Linked DNA regions of Mus musculus. The protein of the gene in region 3 purifies or fractionates together with the protein of the main gene of each other region. This does not show direct contact. Links are inferred from orthologs where the notes say so. Each region holds a gene or a part of one and is shown on either strand. Other genes may lie near its edges.

Region 1 (4,448 bases), on a different chromosome or scaffold from region 3:
TCCGGAGGCAGAGGCAGGCGGATTTCTGAGTTCAAGGCCAGCCTGGTCTACAGTGTGAGTTCCAGGACAGCCAGGACTATACAGAGAAACCCTGTCTCGAAAAACCAAAAAAAAAAAAAAAAAAACTGGCCTCAAACTCATAATCCTCCTGCCTCAGGCTCCTGAACGTTAGGGTGTAACGCTCCTGAACGCATCATTATGTCCGATACTTGGGGCTTGATACAGTATAGTATAAAATAAAAGAACGGGTTTTATGATCCCATTAGCCCCATCACAGGTGATAATAATTAATGGTATAATTATAATAAATCTACTTAAGTCTTCAAATATGCCTTAATCCCACTGTGATTTAGAAAAACATCTAGAAGAAGTGAACTGTTTTGGCAGGCTGGAGCTCAGAGCTCAGGGTTGAACAGTCTACAAAGCTATTGTTGTCTGTGACAACTTGACTTTCTGGGAGGCTGCAGGCCAACACTCTGCCACCGAACTACACCTTAGCCTCTTCACTGTTGCAGTTTACATATAACTTTGATATAAACCTCAAACAAAATTACCAAGTGCCCAATCCACACACACACTTGTTTTTTTGAGACAAGATCTTACTAACTATAGTTATAACCTTTTTCTCAGGAGAGACTGAACCCTCAATTTCTTGCATACATTTCCAGAAGTCTAGAGAGAAGTCACTAAAATCCACTGGTTTTCTAGTCGGTGGACCCCGAGTAAACAGGTGTAATACGGGTCAACCGTGAAGGCTTAAGAGCATCCTTAGGATAGAATACGTGCAATCTTCTCTTTGAGAATGAGCTTAGCCTGCACTGTCATCGTATGAATAGATAGAAAATATTTGTTTATGTGCCTGTAACAAAAAATGTTTAAAGTAAGATAGAGTATTTCAAATAGTGAGAACGGTTACCTCCAAAGACTCCTTGTTCAAGCCACAATACCACTCTCGCCAAAGTCCGTGGCTCTCTGGAGATTTTGCCAGTACTATGACTGCATTATTTAAAGAAACGCTAGTCTCGGGTTCTCTGGTACTCAACTTATTCTCTGGAGCAAACTGCAAAGTGCAGGAATAACCCGAGTCTTGTGTAGAGAAGCACAATTCGTAACCGACGGGGCTTAGATGTCCGTGAAGAGTTTGTGGCAGAATCCCAGGCACTTGGATGAGCAAAGTCAAGGAGTCTTCGTCCTGATTACACTGTAAAGGAGGGCACACGGGTGCGATGCTCTCGGTTCCGGGGTCACCCATGGCTGAGCCCGCGGTGTCGTGGCGGGTCCTCTCCTGCTCCTCATTCGTCTGGACACCGGGGTCTCCGCACAGGGATTCGGTGTCGCCGCCCGGGAAAGCAGAGTAAGGGAGGCTTCGGTCCCCAGGAGAAGTCCCTTTCCCGAGGTCTAGAGGTGCCACCGAGTCCCCTCCGAAGTCCTGCTCCGGTTCGGGAACGAGCTCCCCTTCAGCGTGTGCAGCCCCGGGGTCTGGGGCTCCCACACCGCTCTTCTCCCCGTGGTCAGCTCCGGTTCCATCTGCAGACTCTTCCCGCGCCGCTGCAAAATCGCCCGCGGAAGTGCGGGCTACGTCGTCAGTTCCGGTCTCCTCCGCGGGCTCTTCCGGTGTCGCGGCCGGGGGTTCCTGGCGCGCGTCGGCCAGCGCCACCGGCAGCGTGACCACCAGCTGCCGCCGCGCCTTGTTGTACTGTGCCTTGCCGCGGCCGTCGTCCACCGGGTACGGCAGCGAGAGCCGCAGCCGGTAGTCGGGGTTTCTCGAGTCCAGGCACAGCAGCTTCCCCTTCACCTCCAGCTCCGCCCGCTCGACCGAGCGCAGCAGCGGCAGCTCGATGGTGACCACCAGCTCGTGCGGCACGGTGCTCGGGGCCGCGTCGCGCGAGCAGCGGTAATCCTGGAGGTCTACGTGGTGGCGCTGCACCACGGAGCAGCGCGGCTCCGTGGGCTCTGGGCGCTGCACGGCCTCGGGAGCGGGGGACGCGGGCGAGCGGGCAGTGTTCGCCGCCGCTGCCGCGGGGTAGCGGTATGGATATGGTGGGTCCGGGAAAAGCCCTGGTGGCTCCCCCTCGGGCTGGGCCGGGACGCCCCCGGGTAGGGGCGTGCGGAGCACTGCGGCCTCGGGCATCCCCTTGTACTTGATCTTCAGGGTCTTGGCGTTCCTGCGGTCCAGCCTGACGCCGAACTGCTGCTCCACCGCCTCCAGGGCCGTGGCGTCCAGCATTTCGCGGAAGCGCTCGTGGCTCCGGGCCAGCGCCAGCGCTTCGGGGTGGAAGACCACGTCGTAGACGGTGTAGCGGGCGCCGTTGCGGCCGGCATACTGGCGGCCGGGAGCCAGGCTATAGGGCAGGGACCAGTGGCTGCCAGCTGCCGTGCCGCCGCGCCCCGGGCCGGGCCGGCTGCTAGGTACGCCTACCAGTGAGTTGCTGCACACGTTCACGTAGCAGCGGTGCTCCCCGTCCAGGCTGGTACGCAGCACATGGCCCGGCTCAGGGTGCACGAACCGCACATCCACCCCACGCTCCCGCTCCAGGGCTGTGATCTCCTCCTCGTAGCGCCTCCGGTTCTCGGGGTCCGTGATCTCCGCGGCGTACTCGGAGAACATTCGGCGGAACTCTGGGTCCTGAAAGGCGGAGGTGAACCGCTGCACCTCCTCTCTGCTCAGATCCAAGTCCTCCAGCGCTGAGGAGGCCGCCGCCTTGGCCATGGTGACCCACACGGCCCAATGCCCAGACCCAGTGAAGGATCAGGGTGAATTGAGTGTCTAGGATGCGCTTCAGAGTCTGGCTCATGGAGAACTGACCAGTCCAAGAAGGTAACGGCTGGATTGTCAAGGCCGGGCAGCGCGTGCTTTGTTGCCATAGTAACGCCTGGGAGGAGGGGCAGCGATCTGGTAGAAATGCTAGAAATAGGCTCCACTGTTACTTCAAACCAAGCAGACACTACCTGCTACAGGTTTTAAATTACTGTGTCAGGATACGTGTACTTTGCAGTCTATTGTGGTAACTGTCCTCATCTTCAGCGCTGTGTCTTTATCTTATTAACTGTTTAATTTCACCAACAAGAGAGAAGTTTACTAGCTAATTCACAAACCTAACTTTATCTGACTCTCTTTACTTTGTGGAACCAACGTTAGTAAACCCTTACCATTTTCAGGTATTCCACCTTATAGTTGTCTCCCAGAAACCCTTGGGGGCAAAAGATGACAAAACAAATCCCAGAGATTAATAAGCATCAGAAAGGTGTTCGCTTTTTATAATGTAAATGCAAGCTCTCAAATCACTTAGCAAAATTACAGTTTGTCCTGATCAATTTCCTTGGGTTGAGAATAGAATTTATAACTGCGCTTTTTTTTTAAACTAGATATCCTTAGATTGACTCTGTAGTCTCTTAACAATGCTCCACTAGGAACCAATGCAGCAGATGTAGTAGTTACATAATGGAACTTTACTGTGCCAGACTATAGAAACTTGGTTTTGTTACAGGGCTAGGTGTGGGATCCAGGACTTCCCACCTGTGGCCTGAGCTGTACCACTGAGCCACACACCCAGGTCTAGGGTATGGTTACTTATTGATTGCTGGGCAGTCCCAGACCTGTTTTACAAGTGCAGCATTTAGCAGTTTATACTGGCATTACTGCAATCACAAGACCTTTCCCAGGCTTCTCTCTTATGCCTCCTCCTTTTGTGGGAGGGAATGTCCACAGAACCACACCCAGGGCCTCACACCTGAGACAAGCATTCTTTCCACCAATCTGCAGGCCTTCCTCTGTTACATTTTAAGTAGACTGTCCCAAGATTGGGATGACACCTCATCTCCGTTATGCCATCTCTTTCACATGCTAAATATATGTACTCAACTACCATGGTGACTCTGAGTTCAAGGCCAGCCTGGTCTGCAGAGCAAGTTCCAGAAAAGCCAAGGAATCCAGAGAAACGCTGTCTTGAAAACCCAAAACAAGTAAGTAAATAAAACTCAAATAACCAACTTCTGTTTCACATTCTAAGCTTATAGACTCATCAACTGTCCATCAGATGTCTCCATTTGAGTAATAACTGCTTAAGCCCCAGAGGCCTGAAATGGCGTGACTTCCCTTCCTCTTTCATTTTCAGCATTCCAAATTCTTGTTCTTTACTTTCTTTGCCCTTCCTCTGTCAGCTTCCCTATTCATGGACTTGCCAGTGCTGCTCATCTTCCCTCTTAAATGTCATCTGTTACTGGATCAGTCTGCGTCAGATATTTATTGCGTACTCTACCTGTGTAAATAAATAATGTACTTTTTGAAATTTTATCATTGTATATGTGCATGCATCCACCGTGAACGCATGTGTAGGTCAGAAGACAACTGGGAGTTCCTCTCTCCCAGCGTGGGTCCCAGGAATGGGACTCCGGGGGTTAGGCTTGTGCACAGAAAATGCTTTTATTCACTAAGCCATCCTGCCAAC
Region 2 (3,648 bases), on a different chromosome or scaffold from region 3:
ATTTCTAAAAAACAAAACAAACAAAATATTAATCAGTATAAATATAAAATGAAGCAGCTGTTAAAGATTCCATATTTTTGATCATTGACACAACTTTGTTTTATTTTTAGATTTTATATTGCTAGGTAGATTTGTAGTTTAGTAATGATCAGGGTAGTTTTGATAAACTCATTAAAATACAGTTGTACGGTACTCAGCTCAGATGTTTTGTAGTTACTGTTACTGCCTGCTGAGGGACGCTTCCTCTGTGAAACCTCTGCAGATGAGTACTGGCAGAACCACCCGGAGCTGCATGACATACCCATTTACTACGCATCGTCTCTGGCCAAGAAGTGCATGGCCGTGTACCAGACCTACGTGAATGCCATGAACGACAAGATCCGGAAGCAGATCAACATCAACAACCCCTTTGTTTTCAAGCACATCAGCAACCTCAAGGTGCCGCTCTTGGAGGAGGGAGGCACGGCGGGGCGCACAGTGGTGAGGGGTGGCCACACTGCTGCTGAGGCTCTCTGCTCTCCAGCCAGCTTCATGGTGCTGGGACGCACTGGAGCCAGGCTTGCCCTTGCTCGGCGTCTCCATATTCCCTCAGTGCACAGCAGAAAGCCTGAGTCTCTCCTGCTATAGGAAGAAAGTCCTGACAGGAAAAATATGGCAGGTTACAGATTTAGATTTTGTTGTTCACATCTGATCCTCTTTGATTAGCACTGCAAATTCCATGTAGGAATTAATAAAACTCCCATGTTTGCATCCCAATATCAATTAATAGAATCGAATTTAATTTAAAGTATATTATGATTAAATGCTTTTCAAATATCATTAATTTTGTTTGGTTAGTTTTGTTTTGTTTTGAGACAAACATAGCCCTACATAGCCCTGGCTGTCCTGAAACTCACTCTGTAGACGAGGCTGGCCTTGAACTCAGAAATTTGCCTGCCATTGCCTTCTGAGTACTGATATTAAAGGCATTCTCCACCATGCCCAGCACATTTTAATTTTGTTGTTGTTGTTTTTTTTTAATTATATATTTTTTTTATTACGTATTTTCCTCAATTACATTTCCAATGCTATCCCAAAAGTCCCCCATACCCTCCCCCCATTCCCCTACCCACCCATTCCCACTTTTTGGTCCTGGTGTTCCCCTGTATTGGGGCATATAAAGTTTGTGTGTCCAATGGGCCTCTCTTTCCACTGATGGCCGACTAGGCCATCTTTTGATACATATGCAGCTAGAGTCAAGAGCTCCGGGGTACTGGTAAGTTCATAATGTTGTTGCACCTACACGGTTGCAGATCTCTTTAGCTCCTTGGGTACTTTTTCTAGCTCCTCCATTGGGGGGCCCTGTGATCCATCCATTAGCTGACTGTGAGCATCCACTTCTGTGTTTGCTAGGCCCCAGTATAGTCTCACAAGAGACAACTATATCAGGGTCCTTTCAGCAAAATCTTGCTAGTGTATGCAATGGTGTCAGCGTTTGGAGGGTAATTATAGGATGGATCCATTTTAATTTTGTAATGTGGCACTTAAACACAGTGCCAGCTAGTCTCACCATGGCCCATGCAGAAGTGTGATTACTTTACGAGGAGACTGTTTGACCAGGCTGGTGACTGTGACCCTTTAACCCTTTGTCTCTCAGAGCATGGATCACTTTGATGACATTGGCCCCAGTGTTGTGATGGCCTCACCAGGCATGATTCAAAACGGCTTATCCAGAGAGCTGTTTGAAAGCTGGTGTACAGATAAGAGGAATGGCGTCATCATCGCGGGGTACTGTGTCGAAGGGACACTTGCCAAGGTCAGTACCATCCTGGGATGGGAGCCCATGTCTCATGGAGAATGCTGGCGGAGCTCCTGCTCAGGCTCTGCTTTTGGGCTTGGGGGTTATTTGCATAGGCTTTACCAGTTGTTTCCCCAGACATTTTTGCTCAAAATTACTAGATTTCTCAGATGAGGGGCGCACAACCATGACATGGACTTTTACAGAGCTGTATAATGCGCCAGGGCTGACTGCCATCTCTATTTTGGTATAAAATGGCTGTTCTTAGCATGTAGGATGTACACATTATAGAGTACACTGCAGGACTTTAAAGGCTAATGGACATCCAGGCAAGCATGTTCTCTTGTCTTCTTGCTGCTAACATCTGTTTTAATTTAAAAATAGAGTGTGGTTTCTTGTTCTGATCATTTTCCTCCTTTGCCACATTCTATGAAGTTGTTAGAGAGCCTGCTGATCATTGCTGGTCATTTGCTTAGCTGGCTCCAGACTAGAGGTGTGTCTGTCCTGTGGGTTCTGCAGGGAAGCTGCTGTAGCAGAGCCAAGTGCAGCTTTGTTTACGTTACAGGCTTCCCTCCAGCGCTGAATGCACTGGATCCTACTGAGGTGTCTGACCTTCGATTAAATATTTACTCAATAAAAACCATAAGCGTTTAGTACTGACTAAGTCAAGGACATCAGAAGGATGTTCACGGTACAGTTCACAAAGTTAACGTTAGAGATCGTGATTGTGCAAGACGTAACCAAAATGCACCTTCATTTATCTAATTGCAAAGTCTGTTTTTCTTGTATTTGTTTCCAACAGCACATCATGTCTGAACCTGAAGAAATCACGACCATGTCTGGACAGAAGTTGCCACTGAAAATGTCGGTTGATTACATTTCTTTCTCTGCTCACACAGATTACCAGCAAACCAGTGAATTTATTCGTGCTCTGAAGCCACCTCACGTGGTTAGTCTGGGAATGGCATGTGTAGATAAAGCTGCATGAAACACACAGGGCTGCCACAGCCCAGCTCTTTGTGTTCCTTTGTGAACAGAGCATTCTACTTGCACTTGGTTTAACCTTTGCTCTTCCCCTTTGACTTCGGTCCACTGCACTGAGTTTCCTCACTCTGCAGACTCCTCCAGACTCACCTAGTCCAGTGTTCTCTCTGTTTCTGCTGCCACTCCAGTAGCCTGAGTGCCAGGCTTGAGCATATGATGACTGACCTTGAACCCCTAACTCCTCCTTTTGCCTGCTGTGTATCTGGCAAGTTGTGGAGCCTCTTTGTGCTTTCTATAAATAAGGGTAATAGCACTTTATAAGGTCATTGTGCAGAAAGACTGAGAGACTATGGCGTGCTTGACACAGTACCTGACCCATGGTGCATTCTTTATATTGTTATTAAATTAACAGTGCAAACATCATTTTCACAGAGGAGAAAGTCATAGTAAATGTCTAAGTTTTAATAGATAGAGATGTAAACACATACTGTGTTAGTTCCTTATGTATTAGTATATTTGGTTTTTTGGTTTGGTTTGGTTTTGGTTTTTCGAGACAGGGTTTCTCTGAATAGCCTTGGCTGTCCTGGAACTCACTCCGTAGACCAGGCTGGCCTCAAACTCAGAAATCCGCCTGTCTCTGCCCCCAAGTGCTAGGATTAAAGGCGTGCACCACCACTGCCCAGCTCTTGTTTATATCTTTAAGTATTATGAAAACAATAGTAATGAGCCAGTAAGCTAGCTCTGGGGAAAGGGGCTTGCCTCAAAAGCCCAAGGCCAGCCTTCAGCACATGTGTGGAGGTAGAAGGAGAACTGAGCAGAGCTGCCCCTGACTTCCACGTGCATGCTGAGGCAATGCACTCGCGCTCGCGTGCGTGCACACACACACA
Region 3 (3,648 bases):
AGATAAACACACACATACACACATACACATTCACACCCACATACACACTCACACTTATACACACATACACAAACATTCACACACACACTTACACACACACATACATACATATTCACACCTACATACACACCCACACTCATACACACATACACAAACATACACAAACTACAGACACAGAGGAATAATATAGCCTAGTCATGTCATAGCTTTAATTTTAGTTTTTGAAAAAATTTCATACTAATTTCTATAGTCTCTACACCACTTTACATTCTTGCTCATAATAGCAGTGGATGAATGAATAATGGCCAGAGAAAAATACAAAAACAAAGGGTAAAATAAGAACCATAAAGTAGTATACTAAATAGAGAGAAATACCTGGAAAACCACAATGAAGTGAGGGGTAGAGAATAAGTCTTTTATTTAAATGAGAGGTAACATTTGCCTAACACACTGAGTGGAATGAGGTATGCACTGTGAGATGCTAAGCAGAAGAAAGCTTGAAGGAGTGGGGCTGATAGGGTTTAGATCTGAAGTGTGCAGAAGGCTCATGTGTTGAAAGTCTGACCTCCCAGAGTATCAGTGTTCAGAGGTGACATGATTTTGATGGTCCTAAGTTCATCAGCGGAGTAGCCCATTGATAGACTCATAGCTAAGTGGATTATTGGGAGAAATGGAAACGGTGAGGGGCGGATCATGGTTAAAAGCAGCCCATGCTCTTCAGCTCTCATTGCTTCCTGACTGCCACGAGGCAAACAGCTGTGCCTTATGCTCCTCACCGTAATATTCAGCTTTTCCTCGGACCCAAGGCAACAGGCCTTAGAGGCTGTGGTCCAGAATGACTGAAGCTGGAGATACCATGCAAGTTTCTTCTTAAGTTGCATTTCTCAGACGCTTTGTCACAGTGACAGTAAGGTGACTAACACACTGATTACCTCATGTCTAAGTGTTTATTAACCCTATTTCTAGTAACAAAATAAACAAAAGGTCTTGGTTTGCAGCATTGGATAAATATTTTCACCATGACATTTAGCCTGTAAGAGTTGCAGATGTCCTGTTTCGTTAGTATCCAGTGTCTAAGAACTTGCTGAAGCTGAATCTAGAAGTATAGCACTAAGTCTTATGGGGCATTTAAGGACGATAGCTGCTTTTCAGGGAGATGTGCTGTCCTGGGTAGCTTTAAGGAGGGTGTGGCCCCTGAATAATAATAGTAAGAATGCCCCAAGACACTGAAAGTGGAGTCTCTACACAGGACATTCTCACTTCCTTTGTCTGCCTCTTTACTTTGGTGCTCAGTAGTATGGTATAGGCTTATCTAGTTTGATTTTCTTTCTTTCTACTCTAGTCCTGATGTAGTTTTCTCTCAAGCAACCTTATTGTTTTGCCTTTTAAAAACATTCCAAGGAGTGTGTACTGGTTACGTGGGGCAGGGCATGCCTGTAATCCTAACACTTGGGATTTAGAAGCAAGAGCACCAGGAGTTCCCGGTCATCCTCCATTACATAGCTGAGTGTGAGTCTGGACCGGGACACTTGAGACCTTGTCTCAAAAAGCGTGCATGTATGCATGTATAGTGTGTGTGTGTGCACAACTACACACTGGGAATCTAGCCTAGGGCCTTGCATATGCCACCAAATTAAATCCCCAGGACTTCTTTTTAAATAGAAAATTGTCCTTCTAGACTAAGATTTGGTGCTCATTACTATTGGAATGTCATTTCTTTTAGACTTCTGGCACATAGATGACACTGTTGACTAACACACAAACATTCATTCCCACCTATTTATATCTCTGTAGCTATGCACATCCTAAACCATGATCTCATAGAGGTATCCCTAATTCTAGCCCACTGCCACAGGTCCATTCTAGCATCCTCCCTTTGTTTCCATGTAACTGTATTCTTGCACAGTATAAATCCCGTCTCCCATTAGCCTCCTGATGTTTATCTCCCTGGTCAGTCTTCTATGCAACCAGGCTTCCGCTGGCTCTTTCCTGTTCCCTCTTCTCCCCTCTACATGCTGCAACCTTCTTATAGACCAAGAGTCTTCTTGGAATCTATGGGTATAAGTTCTAACTCCCCACAGAGGTGTTGTTCGGAGGCAGGGCCTCTAAGAGATCTTGAGGATGGAACCACTAAGATGAGTGAGATGCAAGCAGAAGGAGACCCCCCCCCCCAGCTGCCTTCCTACACATCATCTTATGGAGACCGTGTGGTTCATGGAACAGCCAGTCAGATTTACAAGTTCAGCTGAAAAATCAACACAAGAAAACTTACATCTGTGTTGAATGTGTGTGTAAACTTTCCTCCCGCGCTGAGATCTCCTAAGCAGTACAGTTGAGGACTGTAGACACACAACCCGATGTTTTGGGTGTTATGTGCAATGCTGACAGTGTGTGTGCACTTTAGTCAGCTCTGTGTAAGTGGTTGAATTTTTCACAACTGAGAAGATTAGCCATCCGAAGCAGGGGCAGAAGCAGGGGCAGTGGGGGCTCAGGTTACCAGTGGTGTTTTGGGGGGACATTTCTAGGTGCCAACTGTGCTTCAAAAATACTGCAGTAGCAAGGTGGACACCAAGCTATCTCATGGCTTCTTTTGGCACAGCCTGTGAACTAAGAACTGGCTTTTTTTTTTTTTCTGTTGTTTGGGGCGTTTGTTGTTGTTTGAGATAAGTTCTCACTGTGGGTCCTAGGCTGGTGGAGAACTCAGGAAATATTTACTCTCTGACTTTTTACAGAAACCTTGCTGACATCTGTGACTTTTTATGACAATCTTGATTACCGGCTAAGCAGTACTTTGATTTTCTGACTTTAATGCTGTTCTCAGAAGCAAGAGTTAAAAACATGACCTGGGAATCTCACGTGGTGATGGCTGCAAGCCCTGCCTGATCTAACCTAGTCCAGCTTGTCTCCCAGGGTCTGTTTCTGTTTTCCTGGGACAAGGATTTTAGGGTCTCTATGCTGGGTTAAGGTTTGGATTTTGTAAGCTTTGCCTTTCATCAGAGAGAAGTCGTCACTTGGCTTTTATTTTGTGTCATCAGTGGGCCAGATGAAGGAGGGATGCACCTGGACATTTCCATAACGCCCACCTCTCTTTTGGTGAGAACCCCTGACGGCTGCACCGAGATCCGACTTCCAGCAGGGGTCAGACTTGTACCTTCCTCGTGTGGCGGGCTGCAGTATATCAGTGGCGATGGTTTACATCTGCGCTTGCGGGTCCAGGCTGAATCCAGCCCACGTGAGTAGGAGCGGCACTCCTGGAGGGCTTTGACGTTTTTTTAGTTGAACTTTTCCCAGGTGAAAAGTTAGGCAATCAATGACCTGGAGGGGTCGAGAGATTCCAGGGTCTGGAACAGTTCTGCCAGTTAGCAGCTGTGTGCTGTGTGCTGTATCACTCTCCTTTCTCAAACCTTCATGTCTTTCTTTTAACAGTATGTTTAAAAATGCGCTTTAATTTTTAGGGGATGTTTAGCCTTGTCGCAAATTTGAGCAGAAGGTGCAGAGATTTCCCCCAAACTGCCCAGTTCGTTTCTTTAACCATAAATGTCCGGCTCACGGATATGAGGATAAAATTATAAAGCTGTTGTATGAAACCTGGTTGGTTTTAAAACACTGCATAGATATGTTTTCATTCAGCAGACAGGTTAGCTTCTA

Evidence for each region.
Region 1: the proteins of Ube2cbp (region 3) and Dnaaf2 purify together in Homo sapiens (affinity purification with mass spectrometry; 4 studies listed by BioGRID and IntAct, counting the BioPlex papers as one, with this or other methods). This does not show direct contact. The link is inferred for Mus musculus from reciprocal best matches to the Homo sapiens genes UBE3D and DNAAF2.
Region 2: the proteins of Ube2cbp (region 3) and Cpsf3 purify together in Homo sapiens (affinity purification with mass spectrometry; 4 studies listed by BioGRID and IntAct, counting the BioPlex papers as one, with this or other methods). This does not show direct contact. The link is inferred for Mus musculus from reciprocal best matches to the Homo sapiens genes UBE3D and CPSF3.

What each region holds. Positions count from the first base shown.
Region 1 is NC_000078.6:69,195,576-69,200,023, forward strand, and holds the start of Dnaaf2 (protein kintoun), read right to left. Parts: upstream 2,855-4,448; 5' UTR 2,711-2,854; coding exon 917-2,710; intron 1-916. UniProt on the Homo sapiens protein: Required for cytoplasmic pre-assembly of axonemal dyneins, thereby playing a central role in motility in cilia and flagella.
Region 2 is NC_000078.6:21,299,780-21,303,427, forward strand, and holds part of Cpsf3 (cleavage and polyadenylation specificity factor subunit 3), read left to right. Parts: intron 1-262; coding exon 263-438; intron 439-1,636; coding exon 1,637-1,795; intron 1,796-2,579; coding exon 2,580-2,726; intron 2,727-3,648. UniProt on the Homo sapiens protein: Component of the cleavage and polyadenylation specificity factor (CPSF) complex that plays a key role in pre-mRNA 3'-end formation, recognizing the AAUAAA signal sequence and interacting with poly(A) polymerase and other factors to bring about cleavage and poly(A) addition.
Region 3 is NC_000075.6:86,451,398-86,455,045, reverse strand, and holds part of Ube2cbp (E3 ubiquitin-protein ligase E3D), read left to right. Parts: intron 1-3,035; coding exon 3,036-3,232; intron 3,233-3,648. UniProt on the Homo sapiens protein: E3 ubiquitin-protein ligase which accepts ubiquitin from specific E2 ubiquitin-conjugating enzymes, and transfers it to substrates, generally promoting their degradation by the proteasome.